Linked DNA regions of Rhinolophus ferrumequinum. Each later gene encodes a partner of the first gene's protein in a complex. Links are inferred from orthologs where the notes say so. Each region holds a gene or a part of one and is shown in the gene's direction. Other genes may lie near its edges. The genes, in order: LEPR and LEP.

Region 1 (7,966 bases):
ATGCTTTCCTCAATTTATCTCTCTCTCCTTGTGTTATACTCTAGGCAGCAAGCAGCCAGGATGCATCTTCAACACTTTGCTTGGAAATCTCCTCAGCTGTGTATCCAATTTCATTATATCAGTATACAAGTTCTGCTTTCTGTATAACTGCAGGACACCATTCTACTGAGCTTTCTGCCACCATATATAACAAAGATTCTCCTCCCTCAAATTTCCAATATCATGTTCCTCACTTACTTCTATCCTCACCACCAGTCACTTTAATGTCCGTGTTTCTACCAACAGTCTCTTCATAATGATTTAAATATTCTCTAAGGTGATATATGTTTTTCTACCATGTTCCTCACTTCCTTCTGAGTCCTCACTAGCAGCATGAACAGTCTGTTCAAGGCAAGATAGGCTTTTTCCATCATGCTTCACAAAAATTCTTCCAGTTTCTGCCTACTTCCCAATTCCAGAGCCATTCCCACATTTTCAGGTCTTTGTTATAGCAGTACCTCATTTTCACTTACAAAAAAATATTAGGGTTCAACCACAGAAGCAGAACCAGTAGGAGACACATAGTAAGATACTTATTGCAAGGCTGAGGTGATTGTAGAGACTGGCTAGGCTAGTCCTTACGTAGAGCAGACTGTCAAGAAAGGCAAGCTGGGAATTCTCGGTCATGGGTGGAAGGTTCTGTGGAGTTTCTTTTTCTTGAGGGAAGCCTCAGCTCTACTTTTACTGCCTTTCAACTTACTGAACCAGGCCCACCCTGATTATTTAGGATAATTTCTCTCACTTGCAGTCTACTGATGATGGACTTTAATCATGTCTACAAAATCTCTTCATAGCCACACTTCCATTAGTGTTTGATTGCATAACTGGGGACTATAGCTTAGTTAAGTTAGCACACCAAGACCATTACAGTATCCTATATTATAATTCTTTTACTAACCACAGCTGCGTCCTCACACATAACCTAGTTATTTTCATTTGAATGTTCAGGGTTTAAAGGGATTTATTCTCAGAGATATCTTCAGAATCAAGATAAGATGTTTTCATCTTATTGGCTTGTTGTACACAATAGTTCTTCAATTAGCAGTTACACCTTCACAGGGGGCAAATTATTTCTCCATGAGGACTTAGAAGATTGATGTACATTAAATATCAATTTCTTTTGGTTGGAAATGGCATTGATAGTATTTAAATAGTCTATTTCCTTGCTGGGGACCAGCAGCATTGATATCACCTGGGAGCTTATTAGAAATGCAGACACCAGGGCCCCACCCCAGAACTCCTGAAGCAGAATCTGTGCTTTCAATATCCCTAGTTTGATTCTGTTGCACCTTGAAGTTTGAGAAGCACTGGTCTACTACAATTGCCTAGTTTCTTCTGTTACCCTTGCTCGAGGCTCATCTTTTTCTTTTTCTGCCAGACTTTACATATGCAGGATGTACTTCCCTTCCTCCAAATTTGAAAACACAATTCTTGAGTCTAAAAGTTTGCGACATTTCATCATGAATAGAGGTTAAAATCCAAACCACCGTCAAAATCCCATATAACTTTCGATGTTCTTCCTAATAGATCTCTATGTATTTTTCCAGGTACATTTTCCTGAACATATCACGAGCTCTAGCTACACAACTTGCTGTCCCCTAGGGTACCATACCTTTTCCCCTCTGTGCCTTTCCTTCCACACTCTGTTTCTCTGCGGGGAGTGCCCTACACGACCTAGTTGAACAATGAGAACCCTCGCTTGACTCCTCTTGAATATAAAGGACCTGTGTTGTTCGTCTTGGTCATTATGCCTGATATGTAATAGCTACTGATTATCTATTAAGGGAGCAATAAATGAGCAAAATAAGGGAGCAAAATATGATTTCCCAAAATGGTTTCCAGAGATGTGAAGAGTAAATGAGATGATAATACACAAACATAATTGAGTACTAGGTAAAAGTACTATTGTAAACGCATTATCTCATTACTTTTCATGACTGTTCAGAGAGGTCATTATCACTATCACCTCCATTTTACACAAAAAGAAACTGAGACAGAAAGAGGGAACTCATACAAGATTTCATCATAAGTGTGCATGTGCATAAAAACTCAGCAATACGGCCTCTGATAGATATCAAAGCTTCTTGCAAAGTCCTTCACAAATGCAAAATTTGAGATTTGTGTGGTAATTAGACATATAATCAATAGTTATAATTATCATTTTATTTTAAAAGACTTTCGAGAAAACATTTAGAACACCACAGACAGGCTGAAGTGCCATTTGAATCAAACTGTATTCCAACAAACCTTACTGAGTGTCTACGTGTATTGTAGTGGATATCTGTGTTTTTTTGTTGACTTCTTCAGTAAGAGCATCCTAATTTTATTTTGGGGTACCACTTTTCCCCTGCTAAATATTTTGGTTAGGGTGAGATCAACTCTCCTCCCTGTCTCTGTTTTCCCGGAGCGTACAGGTTATTCACACCTGGATAGTCATTGTATTCCAACTCATTGGCTATCATGACCCAAGTAAGTTAATAAATAAGACTTGGTTTGGTAGTTGTTAACATATTGGTTAATTGTTTCAAATTGTAAGAGTGGAAGAGTGAGAAGGAAAGTCAAAGAGAGAAGAGCTGAACCAGGAGAGAGTCATGAAAATTGTTGTAAAGAGTTTCAAGGAATGTTATATCAATATTATGAAATTAATAGTTAAATAAGGTTTATATATTTTGAAATTAACAACCAAAATACTTGGACAAACTGTTTTATTCATTGTAAGTAACTGTAACTTCAGTCATGATTGATTTCTCTTCGCAGGATCTGTATCTGTGTAAATAGGCATATTATTGATTTTTTTTTTTTAAAAGAGAAGATAGGCGATCTCATTATTTTCTTTTTTAAATCAAATGTTTCCTTTTAGTGATTTTTTTTCCTCACTCACGAATGAGTTAAGGTGTTAATCCTTTCTTGTTATCATAGAGAAGTTTTTCAATGTGGTAATAATTGCCTAATTGGTAGTGATTTATTTTTACTCATCTAGTCAGTCAACAGCTCTTTATTGGCCTTCAGATATACAGCAGGCTTTGTGCCAGAGGGAATGAAATTCAAAGGCGTCCCTTAGCCTAGAATGTAACCTCCATAGGAGTTCCTGACTCAGAGCCTGATGCCTAGCAGGCATTCAAGATTTGATCATGTTATCAGAAATCCATACACGTGGATGTGGGGGTGTATTTCTGTATTAATTTAACAATGGTAGCTTCGAGGAGCTGTGCTTGGTCTTTAAGTATTGCCTGTGACTCAAACATGAATTGAAGGCTTGGGCCTTTGTAATTCTTTTCCTTGTGGCAGTTATTCCTCATAATACTCAGGTTTAATGATCCTTATTTTCAGTAGTTCACAATGAAATAATTTATGACAATGATGCTGGAATGATACCCTGATACCATAGTAGGTAATTTTGGTCCCTAATAGTTTACTAGCTTTAGTGGATTGAATGGTGGCTCCCCCTGCCAACCCCCCCAAAAAAAACTGTCCACATCCTAAACTCCAGAATCTGTGAATGGATGTTATTTGGGTCTTTGCAGATGTAATTAAGTAAGAATCTCCAGTTGAGATCCTTCTGGATTATCTGGATGGTCCCTACATCCAATGACAAGTGTCCTTATAAGAGACAGAAGAGAAGAAGACACAGACACAGAGAAGGCCATGTGATGATGGAGGCAGAAATTAGAGTGATGCAACCACCAGCCAATGAATTCCTGGAGCTACTAAAAACTGGGTGGGGCAAGGAAGGATTCTCCCCTTAGAGCCTTGGGAGGGAATACAGACTTGAGGACACCTTGAGGTTGGACTTCTGGTCTCCAAAATAGTGAAAGAATAAATTTCAGTTGTTATAAGTGTTAAATTCGTGGTCATTTGTTAAAGCAACCTTAGAAAATGAATATGCTAATTTATACCAATTATCTAATTAAGGATTCTGCTGTGTTGTTTTATTTCATAATAATTTGGGAAAGTCAGTATCTCTATTCCAATTCCTGCCTTCACCCGATGGAGACATTGGTCTGTTTTTTGAGGTTTGAATGAAAACTCAAAGGTTAGTGCTTCTGGGTTATTTTTGCCTTTCAAAGATGCCCCAGAAAGTTCATTCAGTGCACAAATATGAAATTTCTGAATGAAGTGACCTCAACAGGTGGTCTGGAGATCCAAATGCTATGCAGAAAAGTGACACTGGTCCCGGGAGGAAATTTCTATAGGGGAAAATTTCCATTTACGAAGCTCCACAAGTTGGCATCTCTGGGTTACTTTCTCTCTGTGCCTCTGAGGCCTCTTCCTACGAGGGTGTTAGGCAAGTTATTTCTAGAGACTTTTTAAAATTAACCATTCATCCCACCTAGAGTATGTCCACTCCCCCTTTATTCATTCTTCCTCACGCTGTTGGTTTCCTTCATCTCACCCATCACAGTTGGTAGATGTATGAATACTTGCGTGTCTGACTATTACAACTCCAAGTTCAAGGAACATAATAACTGCCCCTAGCATATTGTCTGGCACACAGTATGTCCTCAACAAATCCATGAGTGAACATTTTGAGTGGAGAGCAAGAAACTGTCTAATTACTTTGGGTTTGGAATCAGGCTGTTGAAGGATTTTTGTTTTCCTACATCAAAAGCCATTGAATTTCAAGATTGAAAGATAAATGGTCATTTAGTCCAACCCCCACTTGGTGCGTGAGTAGCCTGGTCAGCCTTTCTGACAGCATGACCAAAATGCTTGGCTGAAACATCCTTGGTGATGGGAAGCTCACTACCTCACTACTTCGGGTCTTTCCGATTCGTTCTCCTTTCCCACTCCTCCCAATCATTGCAATCTTTATGGTATCATTTTCCACACCTGATGGAGCAGAGGCATGGAAGTCCGCAGGTGGGAGGAACAGAGGGAACCCTAGCCTAATTCAGAGTCTGAGAACCGCTGGCTCAAGGTGGGTGCGCTGTAGCTGACTGCAGGATGAAGTAGCGGTGCCCCCTTCCTGCTGGGTTTGTCTCTGCTCTCGGACTCCCGGAGCCGGGGCGGGGGCGGGCAGGGGGTCCTCCTTCTCAACGTCTCCGCTTCTCCTCCTCCGGGCCCGCGGCCACGCGCCTCGGTGCTCCCTGCCCTCGCCCCGCGGGGTCCCTTCTGCCGCTCCCGAGCTGTCGCGGAGTGCGCGGGCACGCGGGCGGCCACCCGGCTCTCTCTCCCTTCTCCCCAGCCCATAGGCCACCCCCCCCCCCGCCCCAACCTCCCCGCCAGCTCCTCCTCCGCACACACTCTGCTGCCCTTCTCTCTCCTGAGAGTTGCCTGGCATCTTCGGCGAGGAGTTTGGAGCGCCCCATCGCAGAGACCACGCCGGCTGAGAGCGAGCCACGCAGGTGCCATCTCTGCCTTCCATCTGGGTTGGATCCCGGCATCGAGGTGGGACCCGCTTCTCTCTCCTCCATCCCTCTAACGCCACCTTTTCCCGCTCCCGGCAATTCGAGGAGGGGGGCGCTGAGCCGCGCGGAGCCTGTGGGCCACTTGGGGACCAGGAGTTAGGGCCGGCCTGGAGGCGCCACTAGAGGGGCGCCGGGAATCTCTCGGCTCCCCCGGGGCTGGGAATCGGGGGGACCCGGGGCGAGGGGGTCGGCGAGCACAGCTAAGTGAAGCCAGCCGAGTCTGGGCTCGCACCTGCCGGGCACGTCCCGAAAGGACGTGCCACTCGGCCAACTTCTTTTCCGGGTCTCCTTCCTACAGTGGAAACTGAAGGGACTCGTAAACCAGTAAGCCCGGGGGCCCGGAGGAGGGATTTATTGGTTTGGATGCAAAAGAAAAAAAAAATTGTTGTACACCCGAGCCTCTGTTTCCCACTCTCTCTTGCTCTGCTAAAGCATATTAAAAAACAAAACAAAGAAAAAACCCAATCCTAAGCAAAGCATTTATTTAAAGGGATTTGTAGAGGCGAGAAAAAGAGACCTAACTGAAGAATCACTTTGGAAACCCCAGGTACGGCGAGGCAGTCTAAGAAAATGGTTATTGTGGGTGCCATTTCTAGGACTTGTGTTTGCAAACGGAAGATGGCACTGGCTCTTGTAAGCCTGACGAAGTTCCTAATAGTGAGGGGTGGTTCGGAGTGTCTTCTGTTAACGTTTATTTGCATAAGTATTAAAGTACCTTGAAACAAGTACCCTTTCAGAGGTTTGGACGTGGAGTCAGAATTTTGGTATGATTGCCTTTTATCTGTGACTTTGCTGTTAGCTTGACTTCTGTGGGCCTCAGTTTCCTCATCTGTCAAATTAGAGGGTTGAATTAAGATTCTGAGGGCCTTTTAATAATATCTAAGATGTTTCCCAACTTAAAAATTTATAATTCTTTAACATGCTACAAACATTGCTAGATTCATAATTTCACGACATTTAAAAAATCTATATTGATCTTGGCATTTTGTTTATATGCATTTAGGAATTGTGCTTTTAGGGTTTTCCAACCAAAAATTAAAGAGAAAAACACTTCTAAAAGGATTCAGAAATACATAGTTTATATGTAAATATTTAGATCATCTCTCCCTCTACCTCAAAGAATCCTGTTCAACTTTAAGTTAGTATTTACAACACTGCAACAAAAACACGTGACTTTAGCAAAGTACTTATTCTCTTTCAGTATTGTATATTTGGAGGACATAAAAATTGTTTTGGAGGAAAACAAAAATCGCACCTTTCCTAGCAATTACTGCTCTTGAAAAGTGTTTGCTACTTTTTAGCATAAAGTTGTGTGCAAAATATTAAAAAAATGGTTTCAGGCCACTTCAGATCCTCTCAGAAATGAGCTCAGGAGCAGAGATGCCAATTTTAGTAAAGCATTTTTGTTGTCTTGGATTGAATCCCAGAAAATAGCAGAGGTTAACCAAACAGATAAATAAGAAATTAGGTTTTGACACACACAAAAAGTTTTATAAGAAGTGGGTACTATTCAGCTAACCTTTCATTTCCTTTTGATAAAAAAATGACAACAAACAACTTTTGGCTTAAGCAGATAGAGAATGTTAGAATGGCTTTTGTTGTTACTTGTAATTCAAAATTATTTGAGACTTAGTCATCAGACTTAGTCATCAGTCATTAGGGTAGGTTTAGAAGTGTTTTGGCTCTTTTTGGTGGCTTTGATCTAAAGTAATGTGTTTGTACCAGCATGTACTTTGTATGCAGTTTGGGATAATGGAGTGGATTTGAAATACTCTTTTATGAACACATTTTAACTTAGTTTCAGTGCCTTTTCACTTTGGGGCTGACAGTGTCATGAATCATTCAGGCATTTGTCTTCCCTCATATTCTCTAGTGAAGTAGATGTTTCTAAGATGAGTATCTTAGAAACAGATGCTCAAAACGTTCAGCAAATTGGTTTTTGAATGAACAGAGAGTAGTAGTAGAACTTAAATGCCCTGGCTTCTCATTGCTGGTTGGAAAACAACTGAAAACAGTGGATGGGTCTGACTGCTCAAGGTCCACAGCCAACTCATTCGTGGCTTAGAAGCCATGGTTGGCAGAAGCTCTATTTCTCTTTTGTAATATGGGGACTTTACTCTCATGAATTTACCAAGAAAAAAGTCATGCCTTCACACTTAGATCATTATTATATAACTGAATGATTTGTATTTGTGAAGTACAATATCTCAGGGGGTCTTGGAATAAAACTAAAATGTCCAGGAAAAAAAAAGAATTGTCTTGGGCATACTGTACTGCATTTTTCATATTGAGAGCCAAACACACATGCAGTACTAAAACACATGTCCTGTGGAGTTAAAATGAAGAAAAGGGCTTATAGTCTGCTCTAATTCTTAAGATTTTCTGTGATTTACAAATTCCGCATTTAATTAAATCAGAAAATCACAAATGTTCACCTCCTGACCCACTCTAGTACATATAACCTTTTAGTTTAAATTCATATTTGGTCTGCTTATTATTTGGAATATTCCTTCTCAAAT
Region 2 (7,588 bases), on another chromosome or scaffold:
CACATCCTGATGGGAGTTTGAAAACACACCCTAAAAATTTTAGTTTATTTTTTATTATTCTGTTTAAGTGGAGGAAGGAAAGGGGGTAGGAGAAAAGGAGACAAGGAAAAGACAAGAGAAGAAAGGAGGGAAAAAAAGACAACATTACATAACTAACATGGATCCTTCCTGGGGAATGTCACCAAAGAGCTATTTCTTCTCACCTTCTTCCAATCTTACGGAACCCCAATTCTTTCTGGTAAGGACAGAGTTTGCTTCATCTACCTTGATCTACCCCAGCCCCAGAGGAAGGATTATGATTGGTCTAAATCAGTCATGGCAATCACATTCCATTTTTGCCAGTGATTGGTCTAGGGGTGGGCACATGTCCCAGTTCTGGTCAATGAGAAATAAGGGGAAATCTGACTTCCCTTCCTCAACTAGACCCAGAATTTCAAGAAGACACAACCTTTAGCTTCTGCCCTGCCCTTCCTACTGGGCACTGGTGTAAGGACATGATGACTGAAGGGACAGCATCCATCTTGCAACTGTGAGGTAATAAGCACAGGACACAACGGGAGAAAATAAGATCAGAAGGAGGAGGATTCTCAGTGATGCCACCAAGCACTGCCCCTGCCCTCCTCCAGGCTTCTGGATAACTACACACGGTTAATGCTTAAGTCACTGTCACTTGCAGCCAACTGTGCATGTAATTGGCGCAATCTCTAAGGAATGTAATTTGGCAGTGTATTTCTATTTTGAAAGTGCATATCTTCTGACTCAACAATTCTATTTATCATAATTTCTCCCACAGATATATCCTGTTTCCCTGAAAATAAGACCTAGCCAGACAATCAGCTCTAATGTGTCTTTTGGAGCAAAAATTAATATGAGACCGGGTCTTATATAAGACCCGGTCTTATATTATAGTAAAATAAGACCCTGTATTATATTATAATATAATATAATATTACATTACATTATATTATACTATAGACCCGGCCTTATATTACAGTAATATAAGACCAGGTCTTATATTAATTTTTGCTCCAAAAGACACATTAGAGCTGATTGTCTGGCTAGGTCTTATTTTCGGGGAAACACGGTAGTCACACAATGCTCAAATAAGTCGATTTAAACTTATTAATTACAACATTATGTATGTAACAATCTGGTTAGATTGATTGTGGTGCATCCATAAAGTAAAATAAGCTGACATTTAAAAGATTGGCACAGCTCTATGTATATTGGTAAGAAATTGTATTCTAGATACAGTTAGTGAAAGAAGAGATCAATAATGGCTGAAGCTGGATGATGGGTGCATGGAGATTTGTTATGCCGCTTTTTCTTGTAAATGTATTATGGAGATTTGAAAATTTCCAAAATAAAAAGAAATTAAAGGCAAGGGGCAGGAATAGTAGTGTGACCAGTATGACATCATGTGTGTGTGTGTGTGTGTGTGTGTGTGTGTTTAAAGAAAATAGATATATGAAGACTAGAAAAGGAATATCCATGGAAGAACACCCCAGAAACTGGTAACAACTGTTACATCTAGGAGGAGAAGGGGGTTGGAGACTTGAATTTTCATGTCTTTTTGTCCTTTCTGAATTTTCTTAAAAATAGAATATATTTTATTATACAATAATATTTTCTTTAAAAATAAAATAATAATTTATTAGTCAACCAAATGCAAAACTAGGTAGGTGATGGATAGAGAGCAGTATGTATCTCCACAATGTGGTCTCAAGCACTGCTTGATGTTCTTGCAGTAACTCTGGTCCCAATCCACCCCACGACCCTAAAAAAGCTGATGCTGCCACAGGTAACCCGAGGCTGCCAAGGTCCCTGCAAATAAGCTATGTCCTTACTTATAACCAAGTTACAAAGATGTTGGGAACAAGGAAAACTTGATTGTAGTGAGTGCTACCGCCTGTATGTGAAAAACAACACAAAACAGCATTTCCGTGGGAGGTACAAGATTTCTCTTTAACACGTAATTCCATTGCAGACACTTTTTAAAAGCAGAAAAGCGCAAAGAGCTTAAAACTAATGCCTAATCTCACTCCCTGTAGTGACAATATATCTTGGTGTGAATGTGTGTGTCAACATATGTGTAATCTGAAAACACATATCATTTTGTAATCTAACTTTTTAGTTCATAAAATATAATTATTTTCCTACCTCATTAAATATTATTTTACAACAGATTTTTTTTTAAATGTGTGCTTATCGCTTTCATATGTCTTTTCAATCATCTTACCAATTTCTTATGTTGGACATTTAGTTGGTTTCCCACATTTTTCGTAGCAGTATAATTATAAATCATAGTCAATGCTAACATTTTCTGACTTCCACAGATATATAGCTCAATTTCCTTTCTTCCTTCCTTCAATCAATAGTTATTAATTAGAAGCAAAACAACGAGGCTCAAACAAAGCAACTATAAAAGACATTTTTGAGATATTTCGGGAAATTTGAATATATAAATTGGATCTTTCGTGGTGTTAAGGAATTACTGTTGTGTGATATTGCAGTTATGTAGAAATGCTTCCTTATTTTTTAGAGCTATACACGGAAGAGAAAATGTTATGATGTTTGTAATGTGCTTTAAAATATTTTAGCCAAAAAATAAATGAGGCAAATATGGAAAACTAATAATTGTTAAATCTAAACCACGGATATATTGCCTACTTCTCCGTATGTTTGAAATTTCCACTTAAAAATATATCTTAAAAATGAAATACTTTGTGCGAGGCACTGGGCTATGAACGGAGGACATAGCAGAGAACAAAACAGACCCTGCCATCCTGGATGAATACATAGCCATCGGGAGCATGTTTACATCAGGAAATCTCCGGTGCAATGTGACTGGTGAGGACCTGTGTGAGTCAGGCTTTCCTTGTTCCCTACACACCACCAGCACCGCAGGGATGTTTTCACAAGTTTTGAAAATCTACACCCCCAACGGCCTTGCGTCTACAGGTATCCCCAAACGCTGGTGCAATGATAGCACATGTCCAAAATCAGCTATGTGGCGCATCGTGCCCCCGGGTTCATTTCAGCAAACTTTTTCTGGGCACCCATGTGTGCCTGGCGCTGTGAAGGTACCAGGACTTTAAAAATGGGTGACCCAGCCCCCATCTTCCCCTTACAACCTAGGGGAGGAAGAGGAACAGGTCCCCCAAGCCAGCTGGAGGGAGAAGAGTTGCCTGGAAGGGAGAACAGGACAAGCTTCTTCAATGAGAGAGAGAGAGAGAGACCCCAGTGGAACGGGGGAAACCGATGGAAGTCCCCCGTGCCCATCCAGGACTGGCAGGAATAAAGACCCAGCGGGGCCAATGCCAATGTGTTCCCTAGTTCAGAGGTTGGCAAACTTTCTTTTTAAAGGGCCAGATAGTAACTTTAGACTTTGCAGGCCAAGGGGCAACATCAGGGCTGTCGTGTAAGTATAAGAGAGGAAAACTCCCACAATTATTTGGACAAAATTTAAAACTTTATTTGTGGACACCGAAATGTAAATTTCCTACATTTTTCATGTCTTAGCTTTTTCTTCTTTTGATTTTTTTTTTAACTATTTAAAAATGGTCTTGGGCCATACCAAAACAGTGGGTGGTAGGATTTGGCCCCCTGCAGAGTTTGCCACCCCCACCCCACCTTATATGCTGGGCTGGTTCTTAACTGAACAGGTTCTTTTCAGAGCTGCTCTTTGCTGTGGTGACCAGAATGGGCCTGATCTACTTGTTGGCATCTGGGTTCCTGGGAACCCTGCGTTCCTGGGTTGTCACGACATACCAGCTGGGAGTTCCGAGGAAAGTCACTTAATCTCCCTGGACCTCAGTTTCCTCGTCCCTGAAGCCCGGGGATGATACCAGCCTACTCACAGGCTGAGGAACATATTGCTGTCTGGGACACTACCCTTTCCACACAGGAAACCTCGGGTTGGGGAAGGACTGCACACCCAGAGTATCAGGCCTCCCGAGCGAACGCACCTTGGGGCAGACTCCTCATATCCAGGGGACGCTGTCTCCAGGGCAGGCCAGCCTGAGACCACCTGTCCTGAGCCTCGGAAGCTGGCTTCCGGGCGAACCCGAACCGGGTAGAGGGAAAGAAAGCAAACCCTTTCATTCCAGGTGGGGGCGCCAGGCGTACAGCTCCCCAGCGCGCACGGCCGTCGGGTCTGAGCACCGCGATGGCTGCAGAGACCCATTGCGGGTAGCGCAGCCCCGCGCCCGGCAGAGCTGGCTTTGTGGGCCTTGCTATCTGCTCCACCGGCCAGCGAGGGTGCGGTCCGCGCCCCAGCAAGCTGACAGAAGCCCCCCACAGCCAGCCGTCCCCAGAGGCCGGTCCGAAGCCATGCCTGAGCTTCTGTCGGGACCTCGAGGATTTCTCGCTCCTGCCAGCGGTCCCCAAACTTGCTGGCATACCCGAGGGTGTGCGCGTGACTCCTGGCACAGCAGAATCCCTCTCTCGAGGCCCGGAGCCCGCATCTGCCCGGCTCAGCGCTGCCCACGGGGTGGGGCGGGAGCTGGCGCTCTGGGTGCGCCCAGGCCTGCCCGGCAGTTGCGCAAGTTGTGCCTGCGAGACTATAAGACGGGCCGGCAGGCATGGAGCTCCGCAGCGACTGCGGTGGAGCAGTTTCGAGGTAAGCCCCCAGCGCTCTCCTTTTTCCTTCTCTACAGCTCGCTCTGGCAGGCCGCAGCTGCCCACCTCACCCCGGGCCCCCGGGGAAACTGAGACAGGAGAAGGGCAGGCTGGAGGGCTTAATTCTAGACTGTGGTAGCTTTGCACAGTGATCTATCTAACCAGAAGGAAGGCTGCTGGGAGCCGGGAGCTGGGCTGGGCTGGGCTGGGCTGCGCTGGGCTGTGCCTGTGCCCACGGGGCAGGAATCTTTGCTCAGGGAGCCAGCCAGGGCCCCAGGAGACAGAGCCGCCAGCTCGCTGTTGAGATGCTTTGCAAATTGCTTTCAGCACTTCTCCAAAGATCAGGGTACCCTGCTCCTATTTGGGGGTAGGCAGATAAAGTTGAATGTTCAGGGGACACAAAAACCAGGCTCCGTTTCTGAGAACTAGATACAGCCTTGCTCTGTGAATAAGAAATCAGGCTTACTTTTCCAGCAGGAGTCCTGACCTCTGAATTGGAGGGGCCATATAAGGCCCAGGCCCAGGCTCGGGACTGTGATGGAGTAGAGGGGGGGAGAATGAGAATCAGGAAGAACCCAAATCTCCCAGAGAAATTGTGCTGGGAGTCACCACTTCTGCTCTCAAAGCTGTGCAAATGACCGTCTCCATGATGTATAAAATAGGGTTTCTCTGGGGAGACAGAAGAACAGGTCATGGGAAAGGTCTGTTCCTCACGTTTCTCACCATTACCACTTCTCCAGCCAAAATCGCCAAATACACACTCCTGGCCAGTGGGCCCCAGATGAGACCTACCAGGTCCTCCTATAACCTGCCTTCTCTCCTGGCTTGGTTGAGATTTCACTGTGGGTGTGGTCGCCTTTACACTCTAGTTCTATAGCTTAAAGATGGTGGCACTTTGGAAAAGTAACTCCTTAAATACAGTTATAATAGACCTGAGTGTGACGAGCGGCCTGGTTGTCATGTGAGAACGGCAGCTTTACAGAGACAAGATGACTACTTTCTGCTGGAAGGGTGGTCTTTGGGGGAGGTGGGGCCGAGGGCAGCACCTTGACGGCACCACCCTAGGAGCACAGGTTCCATGATGCCCCATTGTCGGAGTTGACCTCTCTCAGCTCCCTTGTGTTTGTTCTATAGAGTTCTGCGGTAAGCTTCTGGGACTGGTGGGAGAGAAGGGACCCAATCGCTTTAGTCTGCAGAACCATTGTCGTTCCCATTCTAACGTCCAGGGAACAGAATGGCCAAGCTGACCATTTCTCTCTTCGGTAGGGGGAGAAGGCAAGAGAAAAACAGTGGATGTTTTTAGGTTCTTTCTTTTTCAAGCCATTGAGGACATTAGGCTGAGGGGACCGTTTCCATGTTGGCCAAAGGAGTCCTTCTCATATTTTGTATCTCTGATGCCCAAAATAACTCTTCTTGGTATTTGGGGGAAATATTTTCCTCCCCCTCTATTCCAGGAAATGGCTCCAAGCACCAAGGACAGAGCCAGGGAAATTGCAATTAATTTCTGCCAGTCTGCCCCAGGCAGATGCCTGCTGTGTCTGAGGCGCCCATGCAGGGTACGGAAGTGGCCACGTGGGAGAGCTTGCCTCACAGAACCTGGGTCATTGTCCCTACTCCAGCCTAGATGCCACCCAGGGGAGCGTAGGGGTCAGGGAGAGAGAAGGGGCTCCAGGGAGGTAGAATCCGCGTGGTGTATGCATCCTGAACAGCATGCCTGTGATTTAAAGAAAAATGAGCCACACTTTCCTGCAATCAGGCAATCAGTAGGACCTGTCTCCACCAGCGGTAGGATTCCAGTGGCAGCAGCTCAGTTCTGGACTGCCAGCCAAGAGCCTTGAAATTCTTTTGTCCACACAGTTGTCTCAGAAAATAGAAAGAGAGGTTGTTTCGGCTTAAAAACAACATACGTGGTGCCTGGGCCCATGGAATCCTTTGCTCTTACTTCATGTGTAACAATCCTTCACACTTACTTCAGTTGCTTCTCAGCAAACTGCAAAAGACTGCCTTTTACAAAAGACAGTAAAAGCTCTCGGTTTATCAGCTCTCAGGAACTGAATCTATGATTGGTGTCGATGCCAACATCTCACCCCTTAGAAACTTTTGTCCCCATCTGTGCACGTATTGCATTTGTACTCAGGAGCCCCAGCTTGGGAGTGCCAAGAAGAGGGGAGAAGCCACAGGGCAGAGCAGAGGTCTCTGAGAAGGGCGAGAGACCCAGAGCACAGGAGCAGGAGCCAGGGGACCAAGGCAGGGAGCACCTAGGATGACAGTCAAGGTGGAGCAGAACTCAGAAAGCTGAAGGCCCACGTGGTGCTAGTTCCTGTCTTCACGAAGAAAGCCTTTAGGAATTCCTGCTGGCAAAAAGTGAATTCTAGAGTGTGACATTTAGATGGTGACAGGTGAGCCATTATAGAGGGAGGTTCACCTCGTTAGACAATGAAGATCAGGGCTGGAAATATTTATTCATTCAACAAATATGTAATGAGCATCTGCTCTGTGCCAGGCCCTTGGGAGATGCTGGAACAAGTGGCATGGCCACCACTCTGGTGCCTGGCACATCTCACTAATTGATCGTGGCACCCTCTCCCTCTGAGTCTCAATAGAGCTTCAGATCCCCCCCTCCACCCAGCCGCTAACAATTGGTGGGAGTTAACACAGGAATTAACATTATTTGTTACCCCTGGTGGGATCAGATCTCAGGGCAGTTCCTGATGAACAGGAAGCGTATACCCACACCCACACCCTGTCGACTCGCTAATGATGTTAACGTGATTTCTCAAGTGAGGCTCTTGGTTACAAATAAGAGAAAACCACTCATGCTAGCTCAGTGCTTTTCAAATTCTATATTGCGACAAACATTTAAAAAAAAAACAGAGACTCCCGACGGTACACCCATAATAAGGGTGAATTTTATGTCTTGATACTTGTTTCTCTTATATGTGTGTATCTATATGTCTCCTGGATGAAA

What was found.
Region 2: the proteins of LEPR (region 1) and LEP are in contact, whole or in part, in a crystal structure (PDB 7Z3R), measured with the Mus musculus proteins. The link is inferred for Rhinolophus ferrumequinum from reciprocal best matches to the Homo sapiens genes LEPR and LEP. Residues at the interface, in NP_666258.2 of Mus musculus: Tyr439, Leu440, Thr441, Arg466, Ser468, Leu469, Tyr470, Gln499, Pro500, Ile501, Phe502, Leu503, Leu504, Ser505, Val560, Phe561, Glu563, Asn564; in NP_032519.1 of Mus musculus: Lys26, Val27, Asp30, Thr33, Leu34, Lys36, Thr37, Thr40, Arg41, Gln92, Gln96, Asn99, Asp100, Glu102, Asn103, Asp106, Leu107, Leu110.

What each region holds. Positions count from the first base shown.
Region 1 is NC_046292.1:48,167,619-48,175,584, forward strand, and holds the start of LEPR (leptin receptor), read left to right. Parts: upstream 1-4,939; 5' UTR 4,940-4,957; intron 4,958-5,281; exon of another isoform or gene 5,282-5,427; intron 5,428-7,966. UniProt on the Homo sapiens protein: Receptor for hormone LEP/leptin. On ligand binding, mediates LEP central and peripheral effects through the activation of different signaling pathways such as JAK2/STAT3 and MAPK cascade/FOS.
Region 2 is NC_046309.1:17,596,152-17,603,739, reverse strand, and holds the start of LEP (leptin), read left to right. Parts: upstream 1-4,493; 5' UTR 4,494-4,621; intron 4,622-7,588. UniProt on the Homo sapiens protein: Key player in the regulation of energy balance and body weight control. Once released into the circulation, has central and peripheral effects by binding LEPR, found in many tissues, which results in the activation of several major signaling pathways.